Linked DNA regions of Stegostoma tigrinum. The protein of the gene in region 1 purifies or fractionates together with the protein of each later gene. This does not show direct contact. Links are inferred from orthologs where the notes say so. Each region holds a gene or a part of one and is shown in the gene's direction. Other genes may lie near its edges.

Evidence for each region.
Region 2: the proteins of lrrc41 (region 1) and drg1 purify together in Homo sapiens (affinity purification with mass spectrometry; 3 studies listed by BioGRID and IntAct, counting the BioPlex papers as one, with this or other methods). This does not show direct contact. The link is inferred for Stegostoma tigrinum from reciprocal best matches to the Homo sapiens genes LRRC41 and DRG1.

Annotation. Positions count from the first base shown.
Region 1 is NC_081361.1:76,012,411-76,019,708, forward strand, and holds the start of lrrc41 (leucine-rich repeat-containing protein 41), read left to right. Parts: upstream 1-4,258; 5' UTR 4,259-4,268; coding exon of another isoform or gene 4,269-4,498; 5' UTR 4,499-4,799; coding exon 4,800-4,917; intron 4,918-6,115; coding exon 6,116-6,202; intron 6,203-7,298. Other genes in the region: atpaf1 (ATP synthase mitochondrial F1 complex assembly factor 1), read right to left, coding at 4,269-4,498. UniProt on the Homo sapiens protein: Probable substrate recognition component of an ECS (Elongin BC-CUL2/5-SOCS-box protein) E3 ubiquitin ligase complex which mediates the ubiquitination and subsequent proteasomal degradation of target proteins.
Region 2 is NC_081379.1:46,784,285-46,791,849, reverse strand, and holds the start of drg1 (developmentally-regulated GTP-binding protein 1), read left to right. Parts: upstream 1-4,490; 5' UTR 4,491-4,562; coding exon 4,563-4,601; intron 4,602-7,565. UniProt on the Homo sapiens protein: Catalyzes the conversion of GTP to GDP through hydrolysis of the gamma-phosphate bond in GTP. Appears to have an intrinsic GTPase activity that is stimulated by ZC3H15/DFRP1 binding likely by increasing the affinity for the potassium ions.

The DNA of each region.
Region 1 (7,298 bases):
GCATTTATCCAGGTTGAACTCCATCTGCCACCTCTCAGCCCATCTCTGCATCCTGTCAATGTCCCACTGCAGCCTACAACAGCCCTCTATTTTGTCAACGACATCTCCAACCTTCGTGTCGTCTGCAAACTTGCTGACCCATCCTTCAATCACCTCATGTCTTACTACATACTTTTTTTTTTAAAAAGTGCATTCTGGAATAGGAACCTTCACCCACACCTAACTATCCAGCAGAAAGTGACCTGTTGTTTTGAAGTCAGTGATAATGGGAACTGCAGATGCTGGAGAATCCAAGATAATGAAATGTGAGGCTGGATGAACACAGCAGGCCCTGTACACCCAGAGTTCTATTAGGAAGGGAGTTCTAGGATTCTGACCCAGTATCACCATGATGAAATTGGGTCAGGGTGCTGTGTGGCTTGGAGTGGAGCTTGCAAGTTACGGAGTTCCCATGTATCTATGTCCTGTTCTTCCAGCGTGGATTTGAAAGGTGCTGTTGAAGGAGCTTGGGTGAGTTGCCACAGCACATCTTGTAAATGATTTACTCTATCACTTATCGAGAGGGAGTGAATGTTGAAGGCAGTGGGTGGCAATGACAATCAAATGAGCTGCTTTGTCCAGCATTGTTGGAGTTGCACTCATTCAGACAAGTGGGCAGTGTTCTATCACACTCTTGATTTTCTTATAGATGGGGGACAGGTTTTGGGGATTCAGGATTTGAGTTCTCACCATAAAATTCCCACTCTCTGACCTTCTTGCAAGCAGTATTTTATGGCTAGTCTACTTACATTGTTGGTCAATGGTATCACCCATTGTTGATAACTGAAAAGGTATGCAGCCATAGGAAAGAGGAGCTGGGAGATCAAAATATTAGACAGGAAAGAGGCAGATGTGGAATAAACACAAGCAGAGATCAGTTTGGCTCAATCACTTGGTCTGCCACAGTTTCAGCCTAAATGTTTAAACTGATGAGGGCAGAGCAGTGGACGTGATTGAAATGCACTTCAGTAAGGCATTCAACAAGGTTCCTCACGGTAGGCTGGTTAGCAAGGTTAGATCACATAGCATAGACGGAGAACTAGCTGAGAAGGTAGAGCACAGAGGATAGCGGTGGAGGGTTGCCACTGGAGACCTGTGACCAGCAGTGTGCCATAACAATAGCAGAACACCTACTATTGGTTCGCAGTAAACAACTGCACCTCCCAGTCATGAACCATTTCAACTCCCCCTCCCATTCCTTAGATGACATGTCCATTCTGGGCCTCCTGCAGTGCCATAATGATGCCACCCATAGGTTGCAGGAACAGCAACTCATTCCACTTGGGGACCCTGCAGCCCAATGGTATCAATGTGGATTTCACCAGCTTCAAAATCTCCCCTCCACATACCGCATCCCAAAACCAGCCCAGCTCGACCCGTCTACCTAACCTGTTCTTCCTCTCACCTATCCCCTCCTCCCACCTCAAGCCGCACCTCCATTTCCTGCCTACTAAACTCATCCCACCTCTTGACCTGTCCGTCCTCCCCACCCATACTCTCCTCTGCACCTATCTTCTCCTCTATCTATCTTCAGTGCGCCTCCCCCCTCCCTATTTATTTCAGAATCCTCTCCCCATTCCGCTTTTCTGATGAAGGGTCTAGGCCCGAAACATCAGCTTTTGTGCTCCTAAGATACTGCTTGGCCTGCTGTGTTCATCCAGTCCCACACTTTGTTATCTTGGATGCAAACATAGTCGGTATGATTACTAAGTTTGCAGACGACACCAAAATTGGAGATGTAGTGGACAGTGAAGGTAACCATAGAGTACAATGGGATCTTGATCAGATGGACGAATGGGCTGAGGAGTGGCAGATGGAATTTAATTGTAGATAATTATTTTACTTTTAAAAATAGTCAAGGAAAAAGTTAGGCCTTGTATAAAAGCTAAAGTCCTTAATTGGAAATAGGCAGATTTTGACAGTACGAGACAGGAATTTTCACAAGTTGATTTGAGTAGACTGTTCACAGGTAAAGGGATGACCGGTAAGTGGGAAGTTTTCAAAAAGTAAAACGATGAGAGGTCAGAGAAATTATGTTCCTGCTAGAGTGAAGTGTAAGGCTGGTAAGAGCAGCAAACAATAAAGATATTGAGACTGTGGTCAAGAAGGGATCAAATATTAGGTGTAGACAACTGGGATCAAGTGAATCTCTTGAAGAGTACAAGTGGTGCAGGGGCATTAAGAGGAGAAACCTCTTAAAGATCCATGAGGTCAACTACATGTGGAACCACAGGAAATTGGAGCGATATTAAATGAATATTTTGCACCAGTTTTTTCTACTGTGGAGAAAGATTTGGGAGCTAGGGAATTCGGACAAATAAACATTGCTGTCTTAAAAAACAGTCCATATCATAGAAGAGGTGGTGCTGAAGGTGTTGAAAAATAGAACAATCTCCAGGACATGTACTGGGAAAGGCAACGACTGATTAGGGATAATATACATGGCTTTCTGCATGGGAAATAATGTCTCACTAACTTGATTGAGTTTTTTGAAGAAGTAACTAAGAGGATTGATGAGGGCAGAGTGTGGGCATGATCTATATGGACTTCAGTAAAAGCGTTTGACAACGTTCCTCATGGCAGATTGGGTAAAAAGGTTAGATCACATGGAACATAGGGAGAACTAGTCATTTGGATAAAGAACTGGCTCAAAGGTAGAAGACAGAGTGTGGTGGTGGAGGATTGTTTTTCACTGGAAGCCTGTGACCAGCAATGTGCCACAAGGATCTGTGCTGGGTCCACTGCTTTTCATCATTTATTTAAATGATTTGGATGTGAACATAAGTGGTATGATTATTAAGTCTGCACATGACACCAAAATTGCAGATGTAGTAGACAGTGAAGAACGTTACCACAGAGTACAACGGGGCCCTGATCAGATGGGCGAACGGCCTGAGTGCAGACGGAGTTTATGATAAATGCACTTTGAAAGGCAAATCAGGATAGGACTTATGGTAAAGTCCAGGGGAGGGGAGGGGGGTTTCTTAAACAGGGAGGCTTGGGAGTGCAGATTCATTGTTCTTTGAAAGTGGAGTCACAGTTAGACAGGATAGTGAAGACAATAGTTAGTACACTTGCTTTTATAAGTCAATCCATTGAGTATCGGATTTAAGAGATCATGTTGCAGCTGTACAGGACATTGATTAGACTACTACTGGAAAACAGCGTGCAATTCTGGTCACCCTGCTAAAGGGCTGATGTTGTGAAACTTGTAAGGGTTCAGAAAAAATTTACAAGGATGGTGCCAGGGTTGGAGGGTTTGAGCTATGCGGGGAGGATGAATAGACTGGGGCTATTTTCCCTGGAGTGTCAGAGACTGAGGGGTGACCTTACAGAGAGGTTTATAAAGTCATGAGGGGCATGGATTGTATAAATAGACAAGGTCCTTTCCCTGGAGTGGAGGAGTCAAAAACGAGAAGGCATAGATTTAGCATAAGAAGAGAAAGACTTAAAAAGGGTCCCTAGGGGCAATTTTTTTCATGCGGAGAGTGGTGCCTGTATGGAATGAGCTGCTTGAGGAAGTGGTGGAGCCTGCTACAATTGCAACACTTAAAAGGCATCTGGATGGGTATATGAATAGGAAGGGTTTAGAGGGATATGCACCAAATGCTGGCATGTGCGACTAGATTTATTTAGGATATCTGGTCAGCATGGATGAGCTGGACCAAAAGATCTGTTTCTGTGCTGTATATCTCTACGAGTCTATGATATGCTAACGAAGCAAGGATGATGTGAGAGAGAATTTTTTTTCCACACAGTGAATCGTTAGGGTATGGAATGCACTGTTTAGAAACGTGGTTCAGTTGAGGCATTTGAGGACAGCACTGTATGATTATTTGGATAGAAATGGTGTGCAGTGTTTCCGGAAAAGGGCAAGAGGCGAGCACTAGGTAACAGAACTAGAAAAGGCACAATGGACCAAATGGCCGCCTTCTGCAGCGTGACTATTTTGCGATATAACTCAGCCGAATTGGAAAATGGGTTAGTCTCAGTATTGGTGCATTTCCGCAGCTTCTAAGCACAAATACAAAGACCAAAGGATCTTCTTTTTAAAACCGATAAACAATCCCCTCCAGCCAGAAGCACCTCCGTGGCCAAAACAAAAAAAAAATCCTGGCCAGGGCAACACCATTACTGGCAATACAGAGCGACACAATCGAGATTAGCTTAAACATGCAGACATAAATCACATGGTAAACCAGAGCGGGTGAAAACAACGTCTCCCTCACCTCCGCAGCTCCTGGATCTTGGTCTCATACTTGGTATAGAAAGGATTTTTCTGCAGCTCCTGCTCCTTTTCGGCCTGGTTTAAAACGCCAGAGATGGAGAAAGTGCGGAGATGGTCGGAGACCACGCCAAGTCCCAGGGGGAGATGATAGCGGCTCCTGACAGCCAGGCTTCGGTTAGTCAAGGACCACAGCTCTCTGACCGCCGCCATCTTAGCCGCCTCCGTGCTCATCACATGGGCCCCGAAAGAAACTGCGAACCAGTCACAACATTCCGACTTCCAAAATGACGCACCAGTAAATGCTTCTTTATTACCAATTCTTAGCTATTACAAAAGTAGTACTGGAAATTAATCGTTAATTTCCACCGCTACTGATTGACATTGCGAATGTGTACTGCACTGTCCATAAAAATTCCAACCATCTCAACCATAATCGAGTTGACGGACCTAGTTCAGGTGACGGACGCATGAGCCGCTTAAAGCACGACGTGACCTTCCCAAGATAGCACCATAGAGACGGTGTTTGAGGAGAATGGAGCTGGGCATAGCCCGGGAGGAGGAGACCCTCAGCCATCATGTGTCCACTTTATTTAATATCTGTGCAAAGAATGTCAGCGAGAACATGGTCAGGCTGCAGCAGGGCGTCTCGGGTAAGACTTGGAACTGTAATTAACGCACCGCTTTACTGAATCTCCGAGGCTCAGATTTTACAGGACCGCAAGATAGGTGAACCATCCTCTGACTGAAGAACTTCCTCCTCATCATAGTTTTAAAGGATCATCCCATCACTCTGGCGTTGTTTCCTTGGGTCCCAGAATTTCCTACTAATGCACACATCATATCCACGTCCACTCTATTCAGGCCTGTTAGTATTCTGTAAGTTTCAATCAGATCTCCACTCGTTCATCTAAACTCTTGAGTACAGACTTGAATCCTCAACTGCACCTGATATGACAAACTTTCATCCCAGGGGTTGTTCCTGTAAATCTCCTCTAGATATTGCCCAATGCCAATATATCCTTCTCTAGATATAGGGTTCAAAACTGTTCCCAGTATTCCTCAGCAATACAACTCTGATGTTGTATTCTAACTCATTTGAAATGAATGCTAGCATTGCATTTGCCTTCCTGACTGCCAACTGAACCTGCATGTTAACCTGAAGTGAATCTTGAACTAGGACTCCTAAGTCCTTTGTACTTCAGATTTCTGAACCCTTTCCCTATTTAGAAAGTGGCCTATGCCTTTATTCTTCCTACCAAAGTGCATGACCTCACATTTTCCTATATTGTACTCCATCTGCCATTTCTTTGCTCACTCTCCTAGCACATCCAAGTCCTTCTACAGCTGAGATAACAAAGGGTGGAGCTGGATGAACACAACAGGCCAAGCAGCAAGATGCTTGGCCTGCTGTGTTCATCCAGCTCCACATTTTTTGTTATCTTGGATTATCCAGCATCTGCAGTTCCCATTATCTCCTTCTACAGCTGCCCCGCTTCCTCATACACTACCTGCCTGTCCACTAATCTTTGTTTCATCTGCTCAAAATGTTTAACATCAGGCCAATCAGAGCAGAGTTGTGAATGATCTTTGTTAAACTGAAAGAGAAAGATAAAAACAAACTTGCTTTGTGATACCTTTTTTCTAAAGAAAAGGTAAGCAAAGAAGCTACTTTAAACAAAATCAAGTGGAAGTGTATAAGTCTGATTTTGCTTTGCTGGTGCTTTTGCTCATCTCAAAAGTCTATCTTTGATAAAGCTCAAGAGGCATTTAATTTTGATTAAAAGATTGCATCTTCTTTTAAACTGCCATTTTTTAAAATCTCCAAGCTGTGTTTTGTTCAATATCTAGGTTTGCCAACTGCAATTCTTCGAGAGCTATTGAAGTTCCTTAACATATATGACCTGGAAAGGATCGAAGAGGTTGCAATAAAGAAAGGTAGAACAACGAAAGGAATTTTATGCTTAAGTTTTGAACTTCTGTTAAATAGCTTCCCAGATTTTGTGAAATTGAAGTGTTTGCTGGATTGTGAAATGTTTGTAACTTAAAATTTGCCATCTATTATTAAATTTAACATTTTCCACTCTTGTATCTACGTGTTTAAGTGTTAATGCCCATAACTCCATCAAAGGAAAGGATCTCGGAGGATTTCTCCCAAAGGTAGATACCCTGAATTGGTGGACTGCTTGTAACCAGAACCAGGAGTCAAAATACTATATCTGATATTGTGGCTGTCATAAAGTTGTAGAATCAGCCAGCATGGAAATGGACCCTTCGGCCCAACCTGTCCATGCCAAACAAAATCCTAAACTAAACTAGTCCCGTCTGCCTGCCCCTGGCCCGTGTCCCTCCAAACCTTTTCTATTAATGTACTTATCCAAATGAATTTTACAAGTTGTAATTGTTCCCACATCTACCATTTTGTGAGGAAGTTCATTGCACGTGAACCACCCTCTGCATAAAAGATTTGCGCCTCATGTCTTTTTTAAGTCTCTCTCCTCTCCCTTTAAATATGTATCCCCAAGTCTTGAAATCCCCCATCCTAGGGAAGAGATAACTCCCATTAACTCAATCTGTACCTCCCATTGTTTTATAAACTTCTATAATATTGCCTCTCAATTTCCTATGCTCCAGTGAAGGTTAATGTAGATATGAGTACCTAATTTAAGTTTTGAACATTTGCATTTTTTTTTGATGAACTCTTGACTGGATAATTCCACAATTAGCAAAGAGGTTTTAAAAATTAGTTGCTCAGTTCATAAGCCATTCACCAGTATCTATTACAGCTTTGCATCAGACTTAAGAACAAGGGAAGGTTGAATGACGAGCTGATGCACTCAAATTCTACTGTATAACATTCAAGTTTGTGTGATAATTGGCTTTGCATTATTTCTATGTTCATTTGGAGAAACATTTAATTGCTTTTCATTTAGGTGCTTTGTTATGTTGCTTTCAGATGAATACTAAAGAACCTGTAGCACAGTTTGAAGAGGAGCTGGAGAATTATCCAGCTTCTGGCCTATACTTTTCGCTG
Region 2 (7,565 bases), on another chromosome or scaffold:
ATTGGTAAACATCCCTACTTCTGACCTTATGATGGAGGGAAGGTCATTGATGAAGCAACTGAAGATGGTTGGGTCTAGGACACTGCCCTGAGGAACTCCTGCAGAGATGTCCTGAAGCTGAGATGATTGACGTCCAACAACCATGACCATCTTCCGACGTGTCAGATATGACTCCAACCACCGGAGCGTTTGCCCCCGATACCCATTGACTCCAGTTATGCTAGGGCTCCTTGATGCCACACCCAGTTGAATGCAGCCCTGATGTCAATACTGTCACTCTCATCTCACTTCTGGGATTCAGCTCTTTTGTCCATGTTTGAACCAAGGCTGTAATGAGATCAAGAACTGAGTGGCACTGGTGGAACCCAAACTGGGCATCACTGGGCAAGTTCTTGCTGAGCAGGTGCTGCTTGCTAGTCCTGTTGATGACAACTTCCATCACTTTATTGATAATTGAGAGTAGGCTGATGGGGTGGTAATTGGCCAGGTTGAATTTATCCTGCTTTTTATGTACAGGACATACTTAAGCAATTTTCCATTGTCAGATAAATATCAGTATTATAACTGTACTGGCGCAGCTTGGCTAGGGGAGCGGCAAGTTCTGGACCACACGTCTTCAGTACTGTTGCTGGAATGTGTTCAAGACATGTCTTTGCCATACCCAGTGTCTCCAACCATCTCTTTTTACCACATGAAGTGAATAGAATTGGCAGAAGACCAGTAATGCTGGGGACTACTGGAGGAGGCCAAGATGGATCATCCACTTGGCATTTCCAGCTGAAGACTGCTGTGAAAGCTTCAGCCTTATCTTTCGCACTGATGTGCTGGGCTCTTCCATCATTGAGTATGGGGATATTTGTGGTGCCTCCTCCTCCAGTGAGTTGTTTAACTGTCTACCAACATTCACGACTGGATGTAGCACGACTGCAGAGCTTAGATCTGATCCATTGGTTGTGGGATTGCATAGCTCTATCTATCACACTCTGCTTATGCTGTTTGGATTCCAAGTAGTCCTGTTTGGTGGCTTCACCAGGTATGCCTGGTCCTGCTCCTAGCATTGCCTCCTGCAGTCTTGTACTAAACCAGGGTTGATCCTCTGGCTTGATGGTAATATTTCAGGGGGGATATGCCAGGTTTTGAGGTCACAGATTGTGCTTGAGTACAATTCTGCTGCTGTTGATTGTCCACAATACCTCATGGATACCCAGTCTTAAGGTGCTAGATCTGTGCAAAGTCTGTCCCATTTAGTATGGTGATAGTGCCACTCAACACAATGGAAGTTATTTTCAATGTGAAGGTGGGATTTTGTCTCCACAAGGACTGTGCAGTGGTCACTCTTACTGATACTGTCTTTGACAGATGGAATTGCAACTGGCATTTTGGTAAAAATGAGGGCAAGTATGGTTTTCCCTCGTGTGGTTCCGTCTTCACCTGCTGCATACTCAGTCTAGCGGCTATGTTGTTTAGGACCTCACCAGCTCAATCATTATTACTGCTGCTGAGCCACACTCAGTGGTGGACATTGAAATTCCCCACCCAAAGTACATTTTGTGCCCTTGCCATTCTCAGTGCTTCCTCCAAGTGTTGTTGGAGGAGCACTGTTTCATCAGCTGAGGGAGAACGTTATGCAGTAATCAGCAGGTTTTCTTGCCCGTGTTTAACCTGAAGCCATGAGACTTCATAGGGTCTGCAGTCAATGTTGAGGACTCCCAAAGCAATTCTCTCCCACTGTGTCGCCACCTCTGCTGTGTCTGTCCTACCAGTGAGACAGGACATATTCAGGGATGGTGATGGTGGTGTCTGGGACATTGTCTGTAAGGTATAATTCTGTGAGTATTCTTCTAGTTATGATGTTGCCGATATGGTAATCTTATGTATGTGGAATTTCAGGAATCCCAGCGTGTCTACTGACCAGTAAGGTTTGAAGCTGCAATAGCTTTGAAAAAAGTTTTTCAGTAATCCACAATTTACTTTGATAGCCATGGTTGACAGACATTTTTCAGTTTGTGTGCTTTGAAGGTATATGTCAATAGTGTAAATTAAGAGATAGCTCTTTAAAGGTTATCTATTTCTAATGTACTGTCATATCCTTGAATGTAATTTGTCAATCCATTTCAGCCAATTTGCTGCTCAGAATTTAATTATATCCTTTGTTCAGACTTCCACCCACCTTCAGATTGAACTACCTTATTTTCAAACATTATATTACACATTTCTAAAGATTAATTTACAAGAATATTAATTAGCCATTATTCATAATACTAGATCTAAAATGGTTCATTCTCTCGTCAATTTCTCAACATATCGCACTAGAAAACCATAATGCTCTTCAGGAACTCATTCTTCACAGCATTATTGCACATTAGGTCTACCCAGTCTATATGTAGATTGAAGTCTCCAATGCTTACCGTATTCATCACGCTGGGGAATGTTTCTTTAATTTCTGGATTAATAATGAGGTCCACACTATTGTTTCATGGCCTAGGAACCAGTCCTTTCAATGTATGGTGCCCCCTTGATGTTTCTTAATTTCATCCAAACAGATTCTACATTTTAAAAAAAACTGAGAGCTGCATATGCTACAAATCAGAAATAAAAACAGAAGTTGCTGGAAAAGCTCAGCAGCCTGGCAGCATCTGAGAAGAGAAATCAGAGTTAACATTTCGGGTCTGGTGACCCTGCCTTAGATTCCACATTTTGTTCTACTGATTTGACATCCTCCCTTACTAATGTACTGATCCCATCCCTTATTATCAATGTAACACTACATCCTTTTCCTTTTTGCCTGTCTTTCCTAAATATCAAATATCCTTGAATATTCAATTCCCTAGTTTTGGTTATCATGCAGCTTGGTTTCCCTAATGGTAATTAGATCATACCCATTTTCCTCCATTTGTGCGTTGCAATCACCTACTTTGTTACAAATGCGTTGTGCATTTCAAGTTGAGTGCTCGACTTTGTTTTTGACATTATTTTGCATTCTAAGTTTAGTTGATGCTCACAATCTTTCGCCTGTCTCCTGATTTTACTTATCACATATCTACTTCCTATTGCCAGCTACACTGCTTCCAATTTGAGCTGCAAATCTCTCTGTGAAGATATCAGTCCAGGTCTTGTAAAAGTATAACCTGCCCAACATTCCATCCATCCCAAAACTTGTCTTATTGTTTCAAAAATCTGATCAACTCCTCCTCCACCAATTCTTCAGTTATGTGTTCAATTGATCAATCCTCCTATTCCTATGATCACTACCAGCTAGCATTGGGAGTATTCTGAGATTACTACTCGAGGTCTTGATTTTTAATTTCCTTACAAACTCTCCAGAATCTACTTTCTGGACTGCGTCGCTCCTCCTATCTTGGTCACTGGTACATATGTGGACCATGACCTCTGGCTGGTCATCCACCCCAGAAGGATATCTTACATTTTGTGACATTATTGACCCTGGCACCAGGAGGCAACACACCACCTTAAATTTCTTTACTGCCATGTAAATGCCTGTCTGATCCCCTGACCATGAAATAATCTATCGCTATTGATTTTTGACTCTTTTCCCCTTTCTTTATCTCCAGTGGTGCCAGGGTGGACTCGGGGGACCTCCACACCACTTGCCTATCTTCAACAATTTCATTTCAGCTTCTATGAACCTAACCTGCAATGTGATTACCTCCCTGAATATACTATCTACGTAATTCTCTGCCCTTTGAATGCACAAAAGTGACTCTAGCCATTACTTGCATTCTTGTCCATGGAGCTCAAATTTGCAGTTGGTAACGTTTCTTGCAGATGGGAAAAATGGGATACGTATAGCTGAGTTGACGTACCACTCCGTAACTTTTAAACTACGTATTCGTTCGAATGTGCCGAGTAACTTACCAGTTACTCATCAAACAGCTTCTTTCTGTGTACCAAAGAACCAATTACTGAATGTCTAACAACATACTGAGAAAAAAAATCTCCTCCACCTCTACCACGAAGTCCCTAAAATCACCGAGATCCCAGCTGCATCGAAAATTAGATGAAATGTGACGGAGGGAAGTCCTTTCTAAAATTATTTTCAACGGACCTGTTGGGACATGAGATGATACATATCCATGGAACAAGAGCCAGACCTATGGACACTGCCAATGGCCCTTAAGGTTTATCATGCTCTCTAAAAATCAAGTAAATTGAAACCTCTGAAAACTAGGTTTAACACACCACTTCGTTAAATGGACGGACCTACTCTGAGAGAGCTGAGATACCCCTAATTTAAGGTCGGAACAAAAGATTGACTTCTTTAAATCTATAGAGTAATTCTTAGTTAACTGCTAAAGTGATGTTTGTTGACATCTCCTTGTTGTTCCGTGCTCCTATGCAAACACTCTAAACTGAGGTGTACGACTCGGCATTGCCTCAACGGCCGTTTCAACCGTTAATAACGAACAGCCGCGCGCTGCACTGGGCGGGCGGTGAGGCAATGCGCAGGCGCAGTGGCGCTTTCCCCGCCCAATCCCGCGGAGTGGTCGGTCTCGCGAGGCTGTCTGACTTGGACAGGGTTCATCCGGCTGTGGTTGTTCGACATGAGTATCCTTCAGAAAATCTCGGAGATTGAGGCCGAGGTAATTAGCAGGTCGAGAATCAGAATGTTCGCGTATGGGACACACGACACCGGGGTGGGGAATGGTGAAAGAGGTGATACCAATTGGGGGCGGGGGAAAAGAAGGGATGCAGATGGACAGTGGGTGGCAGGGAGGTAGAGGCCACTCGCCCCCCACCCACACTCGGCACTTCCCCCGTCACATCCCCTCGTCGTCACCCACCACCCCCCCCCCCACTACATTTTGGAAAAACGAAGAAAGACAAAAGTGGGGCCTTGGGCAGTGTTGTAAAACAGAGGGACCCAGGCACAGTTGTTTAAGATAATAAAATGTGAGGCTGGATGAACACAGCAGGCCAAGCAGCATCTCAGGAGCACAAAAGCTGACGTTTCGGGCCTAGACCCTTCATCAGAGAGGGGGATGGGGGGAGGGAACTGGAATAAATAGGGAGAGAGGGGGAGGCGGACCGAAGATGGAGAGTAAAGAAGATAGGTGGAGAGGGTGTAGGTGGGGAGGTAGGGAGGGGATAGGTCAGTCCAGGGAAGACGGACAGGTCAAGGAGGTGGGATGAGGTTAGTAGGTAGCTGGGGGTGCGGCTTGGGGTGGGAGGAAGGGATGGGTGAGAGGAAGAACCGGTTAGGGAGGCAGAGACAGGTTGGACTGGTTTTGGGATGCAGTGGGTGGGGGGGAAGAGCTGGGCTGGTTGTGTGGTGCAGTGGGGGGAGGGGATGAACTGGGCTGGTTGAGGGATGCAGTGGGGGAAGGGGAGATTTTGAAACTGGTGAAGTCCACATTGATACCATATGGCTGCAGGGTTCCCAGGCGGAATATGAGTTGCTGTTCCTGCAACCTTCGGGTGGCATCATTGTGGCAGTGCAGGAGGCCCATGATGGACATGTCATCAAGAGAATGGGAGGGGGAGTGGAAATGGTTTGCGACTGGGAGGTGCAGTTGTTTGTTGCGAACTGAGCGGAGGTGTTCTGCAAAGCGGTCCCCAAGCCTCCGCTTGGTTTCCCCAATGTAGAGAAAGCCGCACCGGGTACAGTGGATGCAGTATACCACATTGGCAGATGTGCAGGTGAACCTCTGCTTAATGTGGAATGTCATCTTGGGGCCTGGGATGGGGGTGAGGGAGGAGGTGTGGGGACAAGTGTAGCATTTCCTGCGGTTGCAGGGGAAGGTGCCGGGTGTGGTGGGGTTGGAGGGCAGTGTGGAGCGAACAAGGGAGTCACGGAGAGAGTGGTCTCTCCGGAAAGCAGACAGGGGTGGGGATGGAAAAATGTCTTGGGTGGTGGGGTCGGATTGTAAATGGCGGAAGTGTCGGAGGATAATGCGTTGTATCCGGAGGTTGGTAGGGTGGTGTGTGAGAACGAGGGGGATCCTCTTGGGGCGGTTGTGGCGGGGGCGGGGTGTGAGGGATGTGTCGCGGGAAATGCGGGAGACGCGGTCAAGGGCGTTCTCGATCACCGTGGGGGGGAAGTTGCGGTCCTTAAAGAACTTGGACATCTGGGATGTGCGGGAGTGGAATGTCTTATCGTGGGAGCAGATGCGGCGGAGGCGGAGGAATTGGGAATAGGGGATGGAATTTTTGCAGGAGGGTGGGTGGGAGGAGGTGTATTCTAGGTAGCTGTGGGAGTCGGTGGGCTTGTAATGGACATCAGTTACAAGCTGGTTGCCTGAGATGGAGACTGAGAGGTCCAGGAAGGTGAGGGATGTGCTGGAGATGGCCCAGGTGAACTGAAGGTTGGGGTGGAAGGTGTTGGTGAAGTGGATGAACTGTTCGAGCTCCTCTGGGGAGCAAGAGGCGGCGCCGATACAGTCATCAATGTACCGGAGGAAGAGGTGGGGTTTGGGGCCTGTGTAGGTGCGGAAGATGGACTGTTCCACGTAACCTACAAAGAGGCAGGCATAGCTGGGGCCCATGCGGGTGCCCATGGCCACCCCCTTAGTCTGTAGGAAGTGGGAGGAGTCAAAAGAGAAGTTGTTGAGTGTGAGGACGAGTTCCGCTAGGCGGATGAGAGTGTCGGTGGAGGGGGCCTGGTCGGGCCTGCGGGACAGGAAGAAGCGGAGGGCCTTGAGGCCATCTCCATGCGGAATGCAGGTGTACAGGGACTGGACGTCCTCCAGTCCCTGTACACCTGCATTCCGCATCCAGTCCCTGTACACCTGCATTCCGCATGGAGATGGCCTCAAGGCCCTCCGCTTCTTCCTGTCCCGCAGGCCCGACCAGGCCCCCTCCACCGACACTCTCATCCGCCTAGCGGAACTCGTCCTCACACTCAACAACTTCTCTTTTGACTCCTCCCACTTCCTACAGACTAAGGGGGTGGCCATGGGCACCCGCATGGGCCCCAGCTATGCCTGCCTCTTTGTAGGTTACGTGGAACAGTCCATCTTCCGCACCTACACAGGCCCCAAACCCCACCTCTTCCTCCGGTACATTGATGACTGTATCGGCGCCGCCTCTTGCTCCCCAGAGGAGCTCGAACAGTTCATCCACTTCACCAACACCTTCCACCCCAACCTTCAGTTCACCTGGGCCATCTCCAGCACATCCCTCACCTTCCTGGACCTCTCAGTCTCCATCTCAGGCAACCAGCTTGTAACTGATGTCCATTACAAGCCCACCGACTCCCACAGCTACCTAGAATACACCTCCTCCCACCCACCCTCCTGCAAAAATTCCATCCCCTATTCCCAATTCCTCCGCCTCCGCCGCATCTGCTCCCACGATAAGACATTCCGCTCCCGCACATCCCAGATGTCCAAGTTCTTTAAGGACCGCAACTTCCCCCCCACGGTGATTGAGAACGCCCTTGACCGCGTCTCCCGCATTTCCCGCGACACATCCCTCACACCCCGCCCCCGCCACAACCGCCCCAAGAGGATCCCCCTCGTTCTCACACACCACCCTACCAACCTCCGGATACAACGCATTATCCTCCGACACTTCCGCCATTTACAATCCGACCCCACCACCCAAGA